3 linked regions of the Lonchura striata genome follow. The protein of the gene in region 1 purifies or fractionates together with the protein of each later gene. This does not show direct contact. Links are inferred from orthologs where the notes say so. Each region holds a gene or a part of one and is shown on either strand. Other genes may lie near its edges.

Region 1 (7,132 bases):
AAGTCACCTCCCGCACAGGCTGCGCTCCCAGTGGGATCAGTTTTAATTCTAGGGGAGCTGGGAGGGCAGAGCTCCCTCCTTGGATATCTTAGCGGCGGAACCAGTGGGAATTTCCCCTCCTGGTGCTTCCAGGGGTGCCTGTGGAGCTGCTGCCCCATCCCAAAGCAGCTCCTGTGGGGTGACAGATCCCAGCACGGCAGGGCTGAGGCACCGGGGGCTGCCCGAGTGACGGGGCAGCGGCAGAGCCGCGTGTCCGAGCGTCCGAGTGTCCGAGCGTCCGGCGGGGCTCACCAGGGACACGTCGTCCAGGATGAGCCCGAAGGTGGCCGCGCGCTCCGTCAGGTCCTCGCTGACCTGCCTGGACACCAGCTCCCGCTGCGTGATCAGCTCGCCCGCGTCGAAGCGCGCCTGGGGGCACGGAGGGACGGAGGGAATGGGATGGAAACCGCTGGGAATGGGATGGGCACCCCCGGGAATGGGATGGGAACCCCTGGGAATAGGATGGGCACCCCCAGGAACAAGATGGAAACCACTGGGAATGGGATGGAAACCGCTGGGAACGGGATGGGCACCCCTGGGAATGGGATGGGCACTCCTGGGAATGGGATGGGCACCTCCGGGAATGGGATGGGCACCCCCGGGAATGGGATGGAAACCGCTGGGAATGGGATGGGCACCCCCGGGAATGGGATGGGAACCCCTGGGAATAGGATGGAAACTGCTGGGAATGGGATGGGCACCCCCGGGAATGGGATGGGAACCCCCGGGAATGGGATGGAAACCGCTGGGAATGGGATGGGCACCCCCGGGAATGGGATGGGCACTCCTGGGAATGGGATGGGCACCCCCGGGAATGGGATGAAACCAGAGGGAAATTACTGGGAATGGGATGGAACAGAGGAAACAGGAGGGAAAAGGAGGGAATGGGATGGAAACTGCTGGGAACATGAGGGAAACTGCTAGGAATGGGATGGAATGGGATGGAAACTGCTGGGCACAGGAGGGAAACTGCTGGGAATGGGATGGAATGGGACGGACACTGCTGGGAACAGGATGGAATGGGAGGCACCAGGAGAGAGCACGCTGCCAGGAGCGCCGGGGCAGCGCGGGCGCTCACCACCACGGACTTGAGGATCTCGGTGGTGATGGAGGGCAGCACGCGCTCGTCGTAGTCCTCGCCGATGCTGGTGAAGATGCGCGGCAGCTGCGCCGTGACGGGCCGGAACAGGATGCGCAGGGTGATGTTGACGTTCTGCAGGTCTGCGGAGCGGCAGCGGCGCCTCGGGAGCGGGGCCGGGCTCCCCCGGCGCCCCCGGCCCCGCTCCGGCAGCAGCACGAGCTGCCGAGGATCCCCGATCCCCCCCGGCCTGCCCGGCGCTGCTGCGGGGAGAATTCCAGCCCCGCCACCTCACCTGGGCCAGGTGAGCTCCAGGGACCCCTCCCAAACCCCAGGTGAGCTCCAGGGATCCCTCCCAAACCCCAGGTGAGCTCCAGGGATCCCTCCCAAACCCCACCAGTGTCACTTGGGCCAGGTGAGCTCCAGGGACCCCTCCCAACCCCAGTGAGCTCCAGGGACCCCTCCCAAACCCCAGGTGAGCTCCAGGGACCCCTCCCAAACCCCACCAGTGTCACCTGGGCCAAGTGAGCTCCAGGGACCCCTCCCAAACCCCAGGTGAACTCCAGGGATCCCTCCCAAACCCCACCAGTGTCACCTGGGCCAGGTGAGCTCCAGGGACCCCTCCCAACCAATAGATTTAGTCCTCACAAACAGTGTATTTTAAATAAATCAGAGTTTCACTCTCACAGCCTTCTGATCTAGTCAGAGTCTCTTCATTCCCGTCCTGCTTCAACAACAACACCCCTGGACACCCCTGGGTGCCCCTGGACACCTCTGGGTGCCCCTGGATGCCCCTGGAGACCTCTGGACACCCCTGTGTGCCCCTGGGAGCTCCGGGGTGCATCTGGACACCCCTGGGTGCCCCTGTGTGGCCCTGGACACCCCTGGGCACCCCAGGGCGCCTGCACCCACCTTTGCTGCCGGTGATGACGGGGACGTTGCGGGGCCGCGAGCGGCAGTCGAAGATGATGGGTTTCTGCACCCAGGGGATGAGGAAGTGCGTGCCCTCGCCCACCACGGCGTCCTGCACGCCGCGGAAGCGGTCGAAGATCACGGCCCTGTGCCCCGCGTCCACTGCGGGGGGAGAGAGCGCGCAATTAGCGGCACGGCGGGAAATTAACGGCGGAGTTAATCAACCCAGGCCGGAGGAGCTGCGGGCGGAGCTGTGGGGCCCCCGGGGCAGCTCCGAGGCTTTGGGAGGAAGGAGCTCCCGCGGCACTGCATGGACTCGGTGTGGATTTATCGGGTGATAAAGCACGGGGAAAACAGGATTGGGGCAGAAACACAGACCCGGGGCACTCACCGAGTCCCACTCACCGAGTCCCACTCACTGAGTCCATCCCACTCACCCAGCCCCACTCACCGTTGTAAAGCGCCGAGTTCACGACTCCCCCCGCCACGGCCAAGCCCAGCCCGAGCTTCCCGATGCTCTCGAACACCTTGGCAGCCATCTCACCGCTCCAGAGCCCGCCTGCGACGCCCCGCAGCGCTCAGCCCTGCCCGGGGGTCTCCCCAGCCCCAAGAGTCCCCCCCCAGCCCCAGGGGTCTCCTCGGCCCTGTGAGTCTCCCCAGCCCCGGGGGTCCCCCCCATTCCCGGGTCTCTCCCCATCCCGGGGGTCCCCCCATCCCTGGGGGTCTCCCTCCCATCTCCCTCCCCGGGTTCGGTCCCGCCGCCCCCGGGGCCCCCCGCACCCCCCAGGCCTCCCCCTGCCCGCTCCCTCCTAGGCCGCTCGCCCGCAGCAGGGGCCCGCCAGGGGGCAAGGCCTGGCTGTGTGCCCGGTTCCCGATTCCCGGTTCCCGGTCCCGGACCCACCGCCGCCCCCCGCCCGCCGCTCCCGCCGCGCCGCTGACCTCCACATGAATCCGCCGCCGCCCCCCTGCCCAGCGCGCCTGCGCGCCGCGCCAAGACGCGCCCTCCTCATTGGCCCGCGCCCCCCGGGGCTCTCTGGGATATGTAGTTCTCTCTGCCGCGCCCGCTGCCGCCCGGCCTATCGGCTCCGCTGTGCCCCGCTGGCTGAGCAAGGCCGCGCGCTATTGGCCGGAGCGGCGCGCTGCCTCTTGGGAGGTGTAGTCCTGGCGGGGGAAGGCGCTTGGGGGGCTCGTGGGGACCGGCGGGGGACACGGGCGGGGACAGCGCTGCCCGCCCCGGAACGCCAGAGCAGCTGGGCAGGGACCCCCGAGGTCACCCGGGCAGGGCCACCTGCCCAGGCAGGGTCCCCGCGGGGTCGGAATGTCCCCCGGCCCTTCCTGGTCACCGGTCCCGGCCACCCTCGGGGCCAGCTCCGCCTCCTGCCGAGGGGGACTTGGGGTTCACTTCTGGCCATCTGAGATATTTCCATCCGTTGGTGGGATCCCATTTCCAAAATGAGAGATTTCCATGCATATCTGAGATATTTCCAGGCATTGGTGGGATCCCTTTCCCAAAATGAAAGATTTCCACGGATATCTGAGATATTTCCCAAAATGAGAGATTTCCACGGATATCTGAGATATTTCCAGGCATTGGTGGGATCCCTTTCCCAAAATGAGAGATTTCCACAGATATCTGAGATATTTCCATGTGTTGGTGGGAATCTCTCCAGTCGCAGATTTCCGTGGATATTTGCGATATTCCCGTGGATATTTGACATATTTCCATGGATATCTGAGGTGTTTTCATGCAGTGACGGGATCCCCTCTGCAGTGACAGATTTCTATGGATATTTCACATATTTCCACAGAAATGTGGGATATTCCTGCTCTCAGCCTTCCCTCCTCCGGTCTACCCTTCCCTCTCTCCGCTCGCCCGAGGTTTTCCAGACCCCAAATCATTCCCGTGGCCTCCCTCGGGCCCTTCCCAGCAGCTCCTGGAGCCGCGGACCCCGGGATTCGCTGTCCCCCCTTGTCCCGGGGCCGTTCCCGCTCCGGTCCCCTCCTGTCCCGGGGCCGCTAGAGGGAAGCAGCGCTCTCCCTTTGGCTCCGGGAATCCCGAAAAACGGGGAAAAAAGAGGGAAAAAAGAGGAAAAAATCCCCACGCCGCCCCCGCGCCCGCGGCGGGTTCCGCTGCCAGGTGACCCCGCTGGATCCAGCGGGGAAATCCCATTAAATCTGGGATTTACGGCTCGGGATTTGCAGCGTCCTCGTTCCTGCCGGGGTCGTGTTGCTCATTCCCGTTTCTATTCCCATTCCCATTCCTTTTCCTACTCCTGTTCCCATTCCCATTCCCGTTCCCATTCCCATGCGGGATGAGCTCTCCCCATTCCCACATTTCCATTCCCATTCCCGTTGCCGTTCCCGTTCCCATTCCCATTCCCGTTCCCACATTCCCATTCCCATTTCCCCATTCCCATTCCCACATTCCCATTCCCATTTCTCATTCCCACATTCCCATTCCCACATTCCCATTCCCACATTCCCGTTCCCAAGTGGGATGAGCTCTCCCCATTCCCGTTCCCAGCTGCGAGGGGCTGGAGATTCCCAGGAAGGGCCAGGGGGACATAGAGGCCCCCAAAATTGAGCTGAGAGTGCGTTCTTGGGGTTGCACCCCAAAATTGGGCTGGGATTGCTTTTTTAGGGGCTGGCTGTGGGATTGCACCTTCAAAACAGCTCCGGAACCACATTTTTGGGTGGTGGCACAGAACCGCACCCCAGAACTGAGCCATAACCCCAATTTTGGGTGGTGGCAGCAGAACCGAACCCCAGAACTCAGCCAGAACCCCATTTTTGGGTGGTGGCAGCAGAACCGAACCCCAAAACAGCTCCAGAACCCCTTTTTTGGGTGGTGGCACAGAACCGCACCCCAAAACAGCTCCAGAACCCCATTTTTGGGTGGTGGCACAGAACCGCACCCCAAAACAGCTTCAGAACCCCGTTTTTGGGTGGTGGCACAGAACCGCACCCCAAAACAGCTCCAGAACCCCATTTTTGGGGGGTGGCACAGAACCGCACCCCAAAACAGCTCCAGAACCCCGTTTTTGGGTGGTGGCACAGAACCGCACCCCAAACCAGCTCCAGAACCCCGTTTTTGGGGGGTGGCAGCAGAACCGCACCCCCAAACCAGCTCCAGAACCCCGTTTTTGGGTGGTGGCACAGAACCGCACCCCAAAACAGCTCCAGAACCCCGTTTTTGGGGGGTGGCACAGAACCGCGGCCCAGAGCCGCGCGGGGCCCCTCCCGGCCCTTCCCGGGCCGCTCCGGTTTTGGGGATTTCCGTCGGGCCAAGAAGGGCTCATTGTCCCCCGGGCTGGGAACAAAGCGCCTCCTCTTCGCCTCCGCCGCTCCCAAATCCCCGCGGCACGAACGCGCCGGGGCGGCCCCGGGGCCGGGGGGACCCGCGGGGACTCCGGGCCGCGGCCACGCCCGGGGGGGGCGGCGGGATTTGGGGTTTTTCCACCCCAAATCCGGTGTGGGGCTGGCGCTGATCCCACTCCCACCCAGCCCGTCCTTAGGGGGGGTCCCGGCTCTTCCCGGGGGTCCCAGCCCAGCCCAGCCCAGGGGTCTCAGCCGTTCCTGGGGGTCCCAAACCTTCCCCGGGGTCCCAGCCCAGCCTTTCCCGGGGGTCTCAGCCCTTCCCGGGGGTCTCAGGGGTCTCAGCTATTCCTGGGGGTCCCAAACCTTCCCCGGGGTCCCAGCCCAGCCTTTCCCGGGGGTCTCAGCCCTTCCTGGGGGTCCCAACCCAGCCCAGCCCAGCCCGGGGGGTCCCAGCCCAGCATTTCCAGGGGGTCCCAGCTTTTCCCGGGGGTCTCAGCCCTTCCTGGGGGTCCCAGGGGTCTCAGCCTTTCCTGGGGGTCCCAGCCCAGCCCTTCCCGGGGGTCTCAGCCCAGCCTTTCCCGGGGGTCCCAGCCCAGCCCGGGGGGTCCCAGCCCAGCCCCGCGCCCGGCACAAACCCGAATTAAGCTCAATAAGCGTTGAAATTCAATTAGTGAAACTGCATTAAAGCCCTGCGAGGACACGGCTCGGGGTGGAAACGGCCTTAATGTGATTTCGGCCGCGTTCCCTGCCGCGATTTGCAAGTCAGAGAAATCGAATTACGGCTGTTTGCATTCTGAGCTCTGGCCCCGCAGTGCAGCTTAATTAATCTGCTTTAAAAGCCAGCCTGCCTTCCGCTCAGCCAGCCCCGGGCGAGCCAAAAATCCCCCCGGGCGGGCACCGGGACCCCGGGCGGGCACCGGGACCCCGGGCGGGCACCGGGACCCCGGGCGGGCACCGGGACCCCCGGGCGGGCCAGGTTTGGGGTGGGTGGGAGGATCGCGGAGGTTTTGGGGAGCAGCGGGACCGTCCCCGGTGCCAGCGGGGATAACCCGGGTGCAGCCCCGAGCGGAGCCCCCCGTGCCGGGCTGGGCGGTGCCCGCAGCGCCGCGGGGGCAGCGGGACCGGCCCGTTCTGCCCGCCCGGGGCTGCCCGGTTCTCCACGGTGCTACCGGCCCTTAACGGTGCTTCCATTCCTGCCCTCCCGGGGACAAATCCTGCCTTCCTCGGGACAAATCCTGTCCTCCCGGGATAAATCCTGCCCTCCTCGGGATAAATCCTGCCCCCTCCAAGACAAATCCTGTCCTCCCAGGACAAATCCTGCCCTCCCCGGGACAAATCCTGCCCTCCTCGGGATAAATCCTGCCCTCCCCGGGACAAATCCTGCCCTCCCCGGGTAAATCCTGCCTGCTCCAAGACAAACCCTTCTCTCCCCGGGTAAACCCAGCCCTGTGCCGGACAAAGGCGCCTCAGTGCGGCCGCCCCAGCTGCCGGTGGGGCCGGAGCCGCTTCCGCCGCCGGGGGGGCTCGGAGGGCCCCGGTGCCGCCGGTGCCGGCCGGGCTGAGCATCCCGATCCCGGTGCGGCCGTTTCCAGGGATACCGCCCGGGGGTCAGCCGGAGGTCTGGGATGTTCCAGCCCTGCCCTAGCGCCCTTAATTGCTCATTTATTCCCTGCAATTAGTCCCAGGTGCTCGTCCGCGGCCGGGTGACCCCGGCGGGTCCCTCCTGAGCCCGTTCCGAGCCCCGGGATCGATCGGGCCCCGGCCAGGGGCGAGTCCCGCTCAGGG
Region 2 (7,602 bases), on another chromosome or scaffold:
AGTTCATGGAATTGAAAGGATTTTGGAGTGGGAAAGAACAATCTGTTCTGTGTGGCTAAAGTGACAGAACGAGAGGCAATGGGTGTAAAATGCACCAAGAAAAGCGCTCCTGACAGTCACACTGCACGCCCTGCTCTGCTGACAGAGGGGTCCCCGCCGGTGGCAAGGACCTGCCAGGTCCTGCAGGCCACTGCAGGCCATGCCAGGCACGCAGGAGGCTGCGCTGGCAGCCCTGCTCTGCAGAGGGACAGACAGAGCCCTGCACTCAGGCCCTCGGGGCGCACTCCCAGCACTGCTCACACTGCTGTGCACCTGGCCCAGGCACACGAGGGGCTGGCTCTGCCGGACAGCAGCACTCACCTCACACCGCCCGCCACAGGCTGCCCTGAGCTGCGAGAAGCGCGTGCAAACAGGAGGCTAAACCCTGAGAGAACAGTTCCACCCTGTCAGGACTGGCACACAGAAGGTGGCTGCTCCTCAGCAGGCCCTGACACCTCCCTGTGCCCGCTACCGTGCCCCCGTCCCCACCCTGCCTGCACGCTCTCCCCGCTCTGCCCCACCAGCACCTGGCACAGCAGCTGAGCAGCAGGACAAATGCCTCACACAACCATCGACTACTCTGAGCACAAAAAATAAATAGCCACAAACTCCAGGAGATTTGTTGAGATGCTGTTACCTAGAATAGCTTTGAAAAACCCACATTAGGGGTAGCTTTGCAACATGCAACATAAGATTCTCAAGCTGCTGCAACAGCGTTTAACAGCATCTATTTACAACTGGAAAGTCTCACTATAAATTGATGAACAATTACTACATTTTACAGAATTCAGGCTATCTGCACAAAGTGTAAAATACTGGTTGAACAATCTTTTCTTCTTAGATAAATCTTCTGCAACAATTCTGCAAGACAGGGTCCTTCCCAAAAGTAACACTGTAGAAAGAGATGTTGCTCTTTTTGGTAAGGGCACAAGCACTGAATGTTATGCAAAGTAGTTTAGGAGCCAAGATATGGATTATTAATAAGAGAAGAAAAGCTGAAATTGGAAAGTAAAAGCTGAATGAAAAGAGAGAATTACCAAACATACACATAAACCAGATGGTTCCAAACAAAGCAAATTGATAAACCAGGAAGTAACACAATGAATAAACTTCTAGCTCAGTTAGTGTTGTGACAAAACAGCTCAGGGATTTTGGCTTTTTCCCTGCAGTAGAACAGCTCACAGAGCCCACGGACACTGCTGAGAGCCAGCGTGCCCAGATCTCCTGCGTGTCCTGGGGCATCTCCAGCCCCTCTAGTGAAATAACCAACCCTGGCAAGGACCCTGGCCAAAGGAGCCAGAAGAAGGGCTTTTGGAATGTTCATTTGTCTCCAAAATAAAGCTGCTGTTCTTCAGGAAGGTCTGAAAGGCACAAAGCAATTCCAGTTTTGCTCTGACTTTGTACAGTCATATCACTTCAAATTTATTTCAACCTATGAATAATTTTGCCACAAAACACATTTTGACTGACTTGTACTGGTAGTGCAAAAATGATGTTATGAAAAACTCTTGAACAGAGTGGCTGCTTAAAAAGACATTGTTTCTTGCATGGATCCTTTTAGAACACTTTGGAAATAAGTTTGTGATACAACTTCAAAAAATAGAAAATATAGTAAAAATCTCAGCCTCTGGGCTTTTTATATTCTCATCAAGATGTGAGAGACCTTGAGTGAATCTCTGTAAAAGTCAGAACACACATTTGTTGCATGTATGAAATAATCAACAGACAAACCAGAAATCACTTTATTATATTGCAGCCACAGCTGCATAATCAAAACTCAAATTCTCACGACCACTAGTATTAAAAAAACAAACCCAAAACATTGCCTCCAGTTTGAGCAAGGGAACTGTGCAGTACACTTGCACGTTCCAGTTAGAGGAAACAAGATTTTATAAATATACCATTCCAAAAGCAGAGCATAGACTTCATTCAGGTATTTAAGTTCACCAATATGTGTGTGTATATATATGTTTATACACCTAGGCTTCCCTGACATTGCAAAGGATGTTCCTCCCGGGTTTGCCCTAAACCTGCCCACAAAGGAACGCCAGGAGCACGCAGCAAGGGCTCTGGCACTGCAGGGCAGCATCCCGGGACGGAGCGCCCGGAGCTGCACCGCCGGGACAGACTGCGAGCAGGGGCCAGCCCCGGACAGAACCTGTTGCTGTGCACGGCACGGAAAAGCGTTCTGCTCGGAAACGGGAGAAGGGATCCTGCAGCAGCGTTCTGCTCGGGACCAGGGAAAGGGAACGTGCAGCAGCGCCGGGACTGCAGGAACGCCGGGGCTGCCCGCTCGGCCGCGCCGGGAGGGGCCGGCGCTGTCCCCGCTGCCGTCCCCTGCGCTGCGCCCGCAGTCCCCCCGGACGGCTCGGCCCGGACGCCGCTGGCTGCGGGCTCTCGGCGGGCACGGCCGCGGCCCGGGGCCGGGAGCCGACCGGGCTGCGCTGCCCCGGGAGCCGCGCCGGGAGCGGCGTGCAGCAGTGGCCCCGGTACGCGCCGCCGCTCCGGGACGCCCGGAGTCGCAGTCACGGCCCGCCCGGGGCGGCTCTGACATTTCCCCCGCGGGTCGGGCCGCCGGTGCCGGTGCCGGCCCGCGGCGCTCCGGTCCCGCTGGCCGCCGGGGCGGACTCCCGGCCCCGCCGCCGCGGGAGCGGCACGGTCCGGCCGCACGGGATGAGCCCCGGGCCGGGAGCGGCACAGGGCGAGCCCCGAGCGGGCGGGGGGCTCCGGCCGCCCCCTCCCCGCGGGCCCGGCCCGGCCCGCCAGGCCCCGCCGCCCCCCGCCCGCGGCCCCGCCGGGCCCGGGCCCCCCGCGGCCCTCACCTGCGCGGGGCGCGGCTCCGGCCGGGGCGGGGCTCAGTCCATGGGCCGGCGGCAGCGGCGGGGCTCAGTCCATGGGCCGGGACCGGCGGCACAGGGCAAACACCAAAGAGAATGAGCGGGGCGGCGCGGCCCGCCGGAACTGACGGCACCGCGCGGGGCGGGGGCCTCCGCGCGGCCAATGGGCACCGAGCCAGCCCCCGAGACACCGCCCCTCGCCGCGCCCCTGGCCAATGGGCGCGCAGCCCTGCCGGGAGCCCCGCCTCCTCCGCCGCGACTACGAGCCCCGGCGTGCTCCGCGGGAGACGCAGAGCGAGAAACTACAGCTCCCGGCGTGCCCCGCGCGGGACCGGGCCGCGCGGTGCGGCTGCGTTCGCCACCGCTTCCGGCCCCGCCCGGCCCGGCCCGGCCCTGCACGGAAAGCGGGCACACTGCACACGGCACCTAACGCGGGCCGCTCTCCACCAAACGCGGGCCACACTCCATCCAGTGGGGCCACACTCCATCCAATGCGGGCCACTCCATCCAACGCGGGCGGTCTCCTCGCCGCCGCGCCCCCGCGAAGGAAAGGCGGCACCAGCGGGCGCAGCCGCCGCCGGGGCGGTCCCGCAGCAGGAGGGAGCGGGAGGAGCATTTAACAAAATCTCACAGTTCAAAACGCGGCTGAAGGAAAAGTACTCCAAGGCTATGCAGCCCTCACGCGATGCCACTCTCAGGGCAGGAAAACCCCCCTGGAGCCTGATCCCGCTCCCAGGAACAGCACCTGCCCTCCGTGCAGGTCCTGACAGCATCTGAGCCTCCTGCAGCCAGTGACAACCGCGCTGCTCTTCTCCCAGAGTTGTAGGTTTGCTCTCCATGATCCTACAGTGCACTTCAGCTATTGTGTAAAGAAAAACCCTCACAGTCCCACTATTTCATATTCTATCTTAAGTGTAAAACATCTTTTTTTAAAAGAGCTATAGTTTTCTGAAACAGTAAGTGCACAATGACAAGCATTTTAAACAAGTACTTATTTATTCACAATTCAGATAAAGTTTAAGGAAAGACAAAAGAAATACAAAGGACAACATTAAAATTAAAAGGAATTTTAGTCACTGAAGTGAGTTTCTACAGCCAGGGCTCTCCACACATTTCCAAATATTATCCAAACACTGCAGATTTCAAATCAATCCCATAACAAACTGCTATGACTATTCCCTTTGAAATTAAACTGGGAATGGAAATTAGCCACCTTTATCTATGAGTACACAAACCATCAAATTCTTCAGTTTCAGCTTAAAGCCACACTCATCTTTTACAAGATGGAATCTGCAATACAATTTCAAGCAGCTTTTTCATGTTGTCTGGGCTCTGCTATAGAACAGTCAGTGTCCACCCTCTGCGTAAGAAAGCAGGTTCTGTCTTGCTGAGGAGCCTCTGCAGCTCAGAGCAGACTCACACTCGCAGCTTGGAGGTATCCCTGGAGGTACTGCAGCGCTTCTGCGTTCAGGCTGGTGCTCAGCATGGACAGGACCTGGGCACAGGTGGAGCAGAGGTGTCATGAGTGGAACACGAAGCCCCTGCTGCCTCCTGCAGTCACTCACAGCACAAAGCCAGACTCAGAGCCGCAGTTACCCACGGGGAAAGCAGCAGGCAATCTTTACTTACCAAAATCGAGGGGAACACAAACATGCTATGGGCTAAAAGAGTTCACTGTACACTCACCTTGTCTAATTTTGTATGAGCTACCTGAATTCAGCAAGTGCATGCAACCAAACTCGAGACACATATTAGCTATAGGCCATCAAGTGTGTAAATTTTCTTTTTAAAATGGCATATTTAAGCTTATTGCAAAATTACATGCTGTGAAAATAAAGCCTTTCTAAGGCTCCTAAGGAAAAACCTTACAAAAGCTCTATTCCAATGAAGAATTGGACACAGCACTATCTTGCATGGTAGTTAGGACCTACTTCACTTTGCAGATTATCCAGCTTTAGCAGAGAGACCCATCCTCTGTAGAATGCAGCATCAGCATGCAAGTGCACAAGTCACCTACCCTGCCCGGACACGCCGTGGACAGTTTGTGCAGAGACTGTGCCAGGTGGATTCTAGGATTGTTCACCATTTGTCCTACAGGATCGTGCTCTTTCTTCCCAGCAAAGGCCAGCTGGGAGAAGGCAGTCTGATAGCCTGGAGTATCTTCTATGTCAATGAAGTGCTCCTCGTCAGGGATTGTGTCATCCTCCGGTAGCTCAAAGAGGCCAATGAGGGCCTGCAGCAAAGGAATCCTGGGAGCAGAGAGGGGAGGGCAAAACTGGAGTGCTCAGAATATGTTAGCACGGGCTATTTTACAAGGACCCTCAAGTTATTTGGAACACCTTATAATTTAGCCTTTGCAGGTACTTGCTTGGCTACTGAAATTGTAAATGCCCAAGGCATGCTGGACCAGGAGAGTTGTGGGTCTCAATATTTTACAGGCATAATGTGAGTACACCTATCAACAGCATGAGCAATGTATGTATTTATCAGGTCAAATTGTCATTAAACATATCTGAAAAGAGCCATGATTTTCCAGATCACAACTTTCCTCTGTGTACTTTAAAAGTTCTAGTTTGGGATCTAGTCTGGGATCCAGTGATTGCCACTAAATTCAAATTACTGGGCATGCTTGACTGCTGGACTGGCTGACAACCAAACGTCCCTGGTAGCTCTCCCCAGAATTCCACTCTCAAGCTAAGATATTACAGTTTCTCTGCCACATTACGAATATGCTCAGCTCTCCTGACCAGAAGAGCTGTACGTCAAAACTGGGGCTAGCTTTTCAGAAAGAATACAAGCTGGAGGAAAGCAGTGTATTTCCCTAAATGCAGGTCCAGCTAGCCAAATCCGTGCTGCCTCCATCAAAAACATCTCAAACCAGCTCTGTCATCCTCTTTGAAAATACAGTTTCATTTGTTGAGAAACAGAAGCAGGATGAAAGGCTGAAAACAGCCTTGTGGCTCTGAGGAGATCACAATGGAGTTTCCAAGAAAGATGTATTTTGGTCTGAGCTCCCATTTTCAATAACTCAAACAGCCTCACCAGCACAATCTGAAGAAGTGTGATACCTACCACAGTTTGGTGTACTCAGTGTCCATCATGGGAGGACATTCTGTTAAGATTTTTGTAATGCCAACAGCACAGATTTTCTTTTCAACTTGTCCAGACACTTTCTGGATTTCTGGAATTATAATTTTCTCCAACACCATTCCAAACATCCTATGGAGGCATTGAGAGAAGAAGTATTAGAAAGACTCATTAGCCTTATGGTGACAAAAGAGAATCAGAAACAATGTGAATCACTAGAGAAGAGAAACAACTAGGTAATTTGTTAGGATGCTGCCCTGTTGCAGTAAACATTTGAACATACAAACTTTTCACTAAGGACAACAACTAAAAAAATCAATCTTTCCTTTTTATAATCTTCTTAGATTATAACTTGAACTATCAGCAAGGAACTGTGGTCAGAAATTCAGAAAAAAAGATTTTCTAGACAAATAAATGAACCGCATTAAGAGAAACATTTAGCCAGTCAAATTAGTGACTAATGTACTCTGACATTCTAGCTAAACAGACAACTCTTCCTTACTTCAAAAGATAAAAATAACACAGCAGTATTAAATATAACCCAAACAAAAAAACCATACTAACTTTGGCTGTATGCTGTCAAATATTTCTTGCAGAGCTAATGCCCCATATCTTACACAATACAAGTTAATGAAGACAAGGAAACCTGTAACAAGAAAAAAATCAAAGTAAAACTTAACAGGAAAACAAAAGAATAGCTTTAGAGTCAGCAAAAAAATACATTCCAAGATTTCCAAGGGGACAGAAATTGCAGTCTTTATAAGCATTCAGTTTAGTGAAGTACATTAACTTGCTGCCTGGAAATTTGCATAAAAACTGATCTTTTCACATACCACAACAAAAAAACAAGGTGTACACAAGAGTTATTCCTTTTTCCCCTTATAGCAGTTACAAAAAGACATTAGAAAAGTCATTTGCAATTTTTTTTCAGATCAAGAACCAAAGAAACTCTTCAAAAAACTCTATTTTTAGCGGAAAACTTCACACAATACAGACTGAGGTATGAGCCCCTTTGCACAGGTGCAGTATATTAAAAGCACCACTTCCACTTTATTTGTGGAAGACCATTATAAGCAACTCTATCATTTTTGTTCCTATCAGGTGACACTCATAGGATTTTATAGGGTTAAGTTACGGACACTGTGAAATTTGGGTAGTGATAGTATCATTAAAATAATTTAATAAGTCTGACAATCTTATTGTGACAGGATTATTAATCAGATTATGTATTGCAATAATCTGTCACAATTTTGCCAGTTCAACATAAAACCTTATCAATAAATTTAGTCATACTAAGGCCAAAATGACACAAGCATGGAACACTTCACAGCCCTAACACACAACTAGAGGTAACTACAGGACGTGTGGTCAGATTGCTGTGCTGCACCAGAGGGAAAATTTGCTGCTATTGGTTGGAGATTAAATGGAGACATTTTCAATAATGACATCATACACTAGGAAAGGAAGAGAAAAAAACAAGTCTTGTTCATTATTTTAATTCCATTCCCTGAATTTCATTAAAGTGTCACCTGCTATGGTGACTGCCCCATACACCCCTCTTGATGACAAAGAATTTGGAGCAAGTCCTAGGAGTCACCACTGTCCCTCCAGGGCACAACAGGACACTTGTTGTGCACCT
Region 3 (6,832 bases), on another chromosome or scaffold:
TCTGTCCTCTGGCTACCTACATGCCCAATTAGGTAGCTCACTTTCTAAGGGAGAGAACATGACTCCAAGCTCTGCCCCTCCCTTACACATTCTTCCAGCCTCCCAGACATCCAGTGCCATAGGGAGTGCTGTGCTTTACACACAATTAAGGCACTTGGCACCACCAAAATCAGGTTTCATGAGCTCCAAGGAGCAGACAGGCCAGAGACAGGACTATGGCACACACTCAGTCCATCATCTCTGGAGAGCTGAGTCTCAGGGAGGTCAGCTGGGTGAGCCCTTCAGAGCTGCCAGTCCCCATTCAAGCCTACACTACTGGCTTCCCCTGGGGAGGAAACACTACCTAGCTTCCTTGGCAGCCTGCACTGTGTTTACCTGCCAGTACTTAGCAGGTTCTGAGGCTTGCAGGATAGAGGTGGTTCATCTTCCTCCTTCTCTACAACCGCTGAGACTCCCAACCCCCTCATACTTCAAATGCTGTAAGAACAAACATGAGATGAGGAAAATTGGTTTCAGATTTTTATTTCTCTGTACTCTTTAAGCAGGAGTGACTGAAATAGAAACCATCATGAGTCCCATCGGGGGAATAGTTTGATAAAGATAGGGCAGGCAGTCACCTCTGCCCCATGCCAACCTGTACAAACATCAGCTGCCACTGTTTAGTAACTAGATGGTTTTCAAACAAGTCCGTGAACAGTCATAGACTACACAGAACAACATGCCAGTTCACAATAGGAAACAACTTATGTATACTTCTTGATTTCATCATAGAGGACTAAGACAAAAGCACCACCCATTCCTCGGAGTACGTTTGACCATGCACCTTTGAAAAAGGCCTTGGAGCCCTCATCCCGGGCAATCTTCCGCCAGCAGTCAAGAGTGCCGGAGTACATTATGTCAGCTGCAGGAGACAGACAGCTTTAGCAACTGGATGCCCACGACCCCCAACATCCAAGTCAGAAACAGCCTCATGTATCTACTAGCTTTACAACCTCAAGTGCATCCCATTTCTTGGCTGACTTTCTCCAATACTAGCACATCAGAGGACGAGACTGCCCAGGAGAGATGGTGCTGCTGCTGCATTGTCTCTGAGAGACACTGGGAGGACCAGTTCAAGCAGAAGGCTGCAACTCCTTGCTTTGACACCAACACTTCCAAACCCAAAAGCTACCGCACAGTTGGCCAGGCTGTGCCTACAATGGAGGCTGTATTTTCTTGTCCCAGAGACATTGACTTGCAACATCCAAGGGTGGTTTCTGCTCCTCCTACCTACTGACATATACCTGACTTGTGCATGCCACCTTACAGGTGTGCTGCACAGGCTGACCCATTCGTGTTCCTTCCTGTCACCTGCTTCTGCAGCCCCTCCTACATCCCTGCTTACAAGAGATGAGGATATCTACACAGGCTGATGAAAGCCAAGCCACTGTGCCTTCACTTCAGCTCCACCACCAGCTATTGATTCAGGGATGCCCAATAACTCTTATACAGCGAGGAAGAAACTTACCTCCTTTCCGGCCAGACTGCATCATCATGCGACGACGAACCGTATCAAAAGGGTAGGAGACCAAACCAGCGACAGCAGTGACGGTCTGAGCAATCATCCAGCTGACAACAATGTGGGTGTTCTTTGGGTCTGGAAGCATGCCTGCAGGAGAGAGGCTTTGATGAGAACGGCAGGTAAGCCACCAGCACTATCGAAATGCACTTCAGGCCTGCCGCAGCCTACAGCTCTGTTTTTGTGCCGTTTGGGTCAACCTACCCTTGGCAGTGTCGTAGATGCCAAAGTAGGCGGCTCTGTAGATGATGATGCCCTGGACAGAGACACTGAAGCCCTGGTACAGGCCCCGAATGCCATCCGAGCGGAAGATTTTGACCAGGCAGTCACCGAGCCCACTGAACTCCCGGTCGGCCCCGGCTTTACCCACATCCGCTGCCAGGCGGGTTCGGGCAAAGTCAAGGGGGTAGACGAAGCAGAGGGAGGTGGCGCCGGCGGCACCCCCGGATGCCAGGTTACCGGCGAAGTACCGCCAGAACTGGGTTCGCTTGTCCACGCCGCCCAGGAAGATCTGCTTGTACTTATCCTTGAAAGCGAAGTTGAGGGCCTGGGTGGGGAAGTACCGGATCACATTGGCCAGGTTGCCGCGCCAAAAGGAGAGGATGCCCTGCTCCCGCGGGATGCGCACCACGCAGTCGATGATGCCCTTGTACTGCTTGTCGGCGGAGATCTGCTTGCTGGCGTGCTGCACCTGCAGGGGCCGAGATGCCGCTGTCAGCGCCGCTCCCCCGCCAGCCCCCGGCCCACCAACGCCGCCCGCCCTCTCCTTGCGGCGACCTTGGAACGGCCCCGGCCGCCGGCGCTCACCTGCAGCAGCAGCTTGACCCTCTCGATAGGGGCGACAGCTGTCTTGGAGATGGCGGCTGCCACCCCGCCGGCGAGGAAATCCTTGGCGAAGGACACGGCCGCATCGGTCATGGCGGGAGCGGCGCGAGCGGGAGGCGATGCCGGGCGAGAAGGCGGGAGCGGCGCTGAGGGGGCGCCGCAATGGCCGTTAATATAGGGGCCGGGAGCGCGCGCGCGGGCGGGGCGCACGGCCCGCACGCCCATTGGCTGCGGCAGGGGGCGTGGCCGCCGCAGGGGGACGGGGCCGCCGTTGGAAGCGGTGGGGGGCACATGGCCGCGGTGAGGGGAGCCCGGCATGGAGATCCTCGGGACAGGGCATCCCGGGATGGAGCACACCGGGACGGGGCATCCCGGGATGGACATCCCCGGGACGGGGCATCCCGGGATGGAGCACACCGGAACGGGGCATCCCGGGATGGACATCCCCGGGACGGGGCATCCCGGGATGGAGCACACCGGGACGGGGCATCCCGGGATGGAGCACGCCGGGACGGGGCATCCCGGGATGGACATCCCCGGGACGGGGCATCCCGGGATGGACATCCCCGGGACGGGGCATCCCGGGATGGAGCACACCGGGACGGGGCATCCCGGGATGGAGCACGCCGGGACGGAGCATCACGGCGTGGAGGATCCCACCAGCACCGCGGGCAGGCCGTAAATGCGGCCCTGGCCGGTGACGCCGCCTGTCCCTGCCCCGGGCACAGCGCACAGCGCACGGCGGTGGCGGGGCCATCCCGATGCCGTGGCGAGAGCAGGCGGGCACGGCACAGCACGGCCATGGCGCGGGCTGGATCGGGGCGGGCTCTGAGGCTGCCTCACCCACGGAGGCGGCCAGGCCCCCATCTCTCTCAGCGCTGCCGGGAGCCGCCCGGGCACCCCTCGGGATGCTGTCACCCGCACACCGGCAGTGACCGAGCTCCTGATCCGTGGGTGGAGCCCCTGTGCAGTGCTGAGCTCAGCTGAGATGCTCAGACAGAAGCTCAGCAGGTACAACCCGCCCCCCATCACCCAGCGGCATCCAAATGTCACTCGAGTACAACTTCACCTGTCCAAGAATTTAGCCTTGCTGCTGACTGGTTCTTCATGGTCATACACCATTGCACGTTAGTGCTCCACTGATGAAGGGCCTTCTTTCAGTGACATCTTAAATATTTTAGTGCTGCCTTTTGGGGATTTATCACATGTATTTGTGATTACAAAGGCCAGGCTTGGTTGATAAAAGGTTAGGTAGTGCTTGATAGGTCGTAGGAATGCACTATGATACAAAGGTGGTAGTAGCACATCAGAAACAAGTTAGAGATAACTTTGACTCACTTGACTCTTCAAAGGTTTGAAGAGTTGATCAGACATTCATATGTACCCAATCTTTCAAATCTATTTAGAAATACAGTGTTAGTAAAAAACATACAAGTATGCTTGGACAAGGCAAGAAATTCTTTCCTCCCCAACATGCTTACAATTCACATCTCCATATCCATACATGTCCAGTAAGTCTCAGTATTATTACCTGCCCTGTGCCCATGGGAAAACAGACACAGAGAAAGAAACACCATTACTAGGCAGTATTACTAAAAAGCCTGGAGATTTCAGTAGAAATTCTTGCATGTTGTATGTATTTTATTCTGTTTTATTATTTTTAGCTGACTTGGTATCTCAGATTGCTTTATGAAAATCCATTTTCTTAATGTTTTTGGAGACAATTTATAATCTCATTTCTATTCTCTTGCCTTTCTGAACTTGGTTTAATCTCAAATGGCTATTCAGTTTTAAAAAGCACCTAAATTAATGCCATTTCAAGTTCCAGTAGTATAGAGTTTTCAAACTAGTTGCATCTTTCCTCTTCAGTATGTGCTTGCCAGACATATTCTTTACATCCATTCAGCAAATACAATACAGATTTATTCTTTCCTATCACAGGTGTCTCACTACAAAAATCATGCAGTCCATTGAAATGTCAGTACCTGTAGCTCAGCATGTCTTTCTTGCAAAGTCCCTCAAGAAAGGTATTTGTGTATCTGCAGTGGACACTCTGATGTCAGTTTTCAAGTGCTGATTTCCTTGGCTCAAAATTTTCCCTTCGGAGGAGCTTCAATTCTCTCAGTTCTTGTGGGTGTAAACTCTGGTCAACGCCAGGTGTTAGCTTGTAATTTAAAGGAGATTCAATATAACCATTTCTGTAGAGACAAACCCGCTTGCAGAATTCAAAGGTGCTAAACATAACACCGAAGTATGGCACAATCTGATAAAAAAGCAATATAAGAAAAAAAATTAGACTCAAAACATCCATAGCATAGATGTTTTAAAAAAAGGGAACTTCTAGGACTTCAGATCTGATCTAATAATAGACCTTGTCCTCATTTATATAAAATCAGAGTCTCATCTCAAGCTATACTGGCAGCTGCAGTGTGCTAACAGTAGGAGTTTATTGTTGTTACATAACTAATTATAGCAATATTGTGAGGAAGAAGGTCTGTGCTACCCTATAGATTACCAGAACTTGTCAAATACCCAAGCACATCCTAAGCAATCTCAGCAAATCCTGGCAGGAAATGTGGAATTTATTCTACACACACTGGAGTGACTCCACAATTTTCTTCTCTTGCCCCATGCAGAACCAGCAGCTCCAGGGCCACTGGCTTCGTATCAGCCAAGGCAAGGCAGTCACAGGCAGGCCATGACAATCAAACCTACTGTCACTCAATTAGCACTCATTAGCTTACCTATAGTGCTCTCTGTAGGTAATCCTCATCACAGCACTGTAAAATGTATTTATGTAAATTAAATTACCTTCTGTTTAAGCTACCATGCTTTATTTCATGTCTTCAACTCAGCAAATCTGCAGTAACTGAAGCACATGTATTAAATAGCTGGCTGAAAGCACTGCTTTTGGACTTCTGGGCAAGTGGCTTATACAAGCACACTTCTTTTACAGCTCACTACAACATATCAAATCACTGAAGCTCAGGTCAGGAGAACTTGTTTAGCTGTCCTAAGTGGATTGCTTGCAATCCCTCATCCATTCCACACCTTGTGTGTTAGGAGCACCCCCTTCAAAGATGTTGAAATGAACTTTCAAGTGGTGACATCTAGAAACCAAGCTTGTATTTGGAGAAATACAACCAAACCAAGTTCCAAGGCTGCTTTATAACCTGTTTTGTCACTGATTCTGTCATCTATAAGCTACTAAGTACAAAAGTATGTCATAAGCTTTCTATCCCCAACTGCCCAAAACTGTCTTGATTCCTTCGGGATAGTGTTTGACTGGGATGAAAGCAACACCTCACCTTGAGCAGACTGGGTGTGAGTCCACTCCAAAGCCCAAGCACACCTTTGTTCTTCACAGTTTGCCGGAAGCAGTCAGTCATGCCAGTAAAATGGACATCAACTCCTCCATAGTGGGGAAGCCAAGGACTCTGAGCCTGTCAAGAGACACCCAGAGGGATTTAGAACAACAATTATTTTCTCCATCCTTGTATATAAGGAACAGTCAACACCAGGTTTCAACAGACAGATCTGGATTCCTCCCAGTTTTGCATTAAAATATAAATTAAAAAGGGAAAGAACTCACTCTTTGATAGGTATGAAAGTGAACAGTAATTTCACACAGTGCCTCCTTTTGCACCATGCCACTACTAGAAATAAATCCCACTCTTTGAGGACAAACCACCTGAACCAGAGCCACACATCCCATCAGCCCCATGCCAACTGCTCAGGTCCAGGTAGAGCTATTTCACACTCCTGGCAGTGGAACACTATGAGAGGGAAGGTTGGAGCCACACTGCCTTCCTGTACCCCTGATCAAACCAGCTGACTTGTCTCTGGCTGCTGAGGCTGTGCCTGCACTGCTGTGAGAAGCATGAACTGCACTACAGGCTGAGGAGCAGCAGCACAGCAGAAATGGAAGGATGGAGATTTCAGCCCAGGCTGTTCAGGCCCACCAAGGGCTGCAGGTGAGCAGTTGGTGCCCATGCTCCCATATCAATGTGCTCAGCTGATAGGTACTAGTTAAAGTTACCTGGGGAGAATCCTGCTGGCTGGCAGCTGAACTTCTAACTGCAATACAGTGTCTGTTCACATGGAAGAAGTGTAGTTGGTCATTTTTAACAGCTAAATCCTTCTTCATTAATCTCCTACTGCATTAGCACAGACAGGATAACCTGACCTTGAATAATCTCATCCTCATCCATCTGTGCACATGCAGCCATGGATTTATCTTGCATTGACAAATCAGGGTTTCACTCAAGCACAAGTGACACTTGTGTTTGACACAAGTGACACTCAACTGACAAATGACACTTCAGTGTCAGGGGCCCCAGGACACAGATTGATGCCTTGCAAACTGATCATCCTAAGATAGAAGTTTGATAAAAATGGGGCTTGTACAGGTAATTAGTGGATGAATATGGGTATCATGATCCCCACATT

Evidence for each region.
Region 2: the proteins of PHB1 (region 1) and STAU1 purify together in Homo sapiens (affinity purification with mass spectrometry; 3 studies listed by BioGRID). This does not show direct contact. The link is inferred for Lonchura striata from reciprocal best matches to the Homo sapiens genes PHB1 and STAU1.
Region 3: the proteins of PHB1 (region 1) and SLC25A5 purify together in Homo sapiens (affinity purification with mass spectrometry; 3 studies listed by BioGRID and IntAct, with this or other methods). This does not show direct contact. The link is inferred for Lonchura striata from reciprocal best matches to the Homo sapiens genes PHB1 and SLC25A5.

Annotation. Positions count from the first base shown.
Region 1 is NC_134627.1:7,927,996-7,935,127, reverse strand, and holds the start of PHB1 (prohibitin 1), read right to left. Parts: upstream 3,009-7,132; 5' UTR 2,969-3,008; intron 2,589-2,968; 5' UTR 2,569-2,588; coding exon 2,481-2,568; intron 2,192-2,480; coding exon 2,030-2,191; intron 1,261-2,029; coding exon 1,118-1,260; intron 409-1,117; coding exon 292-408; intron 1-291.
Region 2 is NC_134619.1:614,807-622,408, reverse strand, and holds the start of STAU1 (double-stranded RNA-binding protein Staufen homolog 1), read right to left. Parts: upstream 3,007-7,602; 5' UTR 2,862-3,006; intron 1-2,861. Other genes in the region: CSE1L (exportin-2), read right to left, coding at 4,282-4,371, 4,894-5,125, 5,949-6,095, 6,528-6,609. UniProt on the Homo sapiens protein: Binds double-stranded RNA (regardless of the sequence) and tubulin.
Region 3 is NC_134616.1:8,941,328-8,948,159, reverse strand, and holds SLC25A5 (ADP/ATP translocase 2), read right to left. Parts: upstream 2,568-6,832; 5' UTR 2,477-2,567; coding exon 2,366-2,476; intron 2,250-2,365; coding exon 1,763-2,249; intron 1,649-1,762; coding exon 1,508-1,648; intron 902-1,507; coding exon 744-901; 3' UTR 507-743; downstream 1-506. Other genes in the region: SLC25A43 (solute carrier family 25 member 43), read right to left, coding at 4,443-4,646, 5,692-5,826.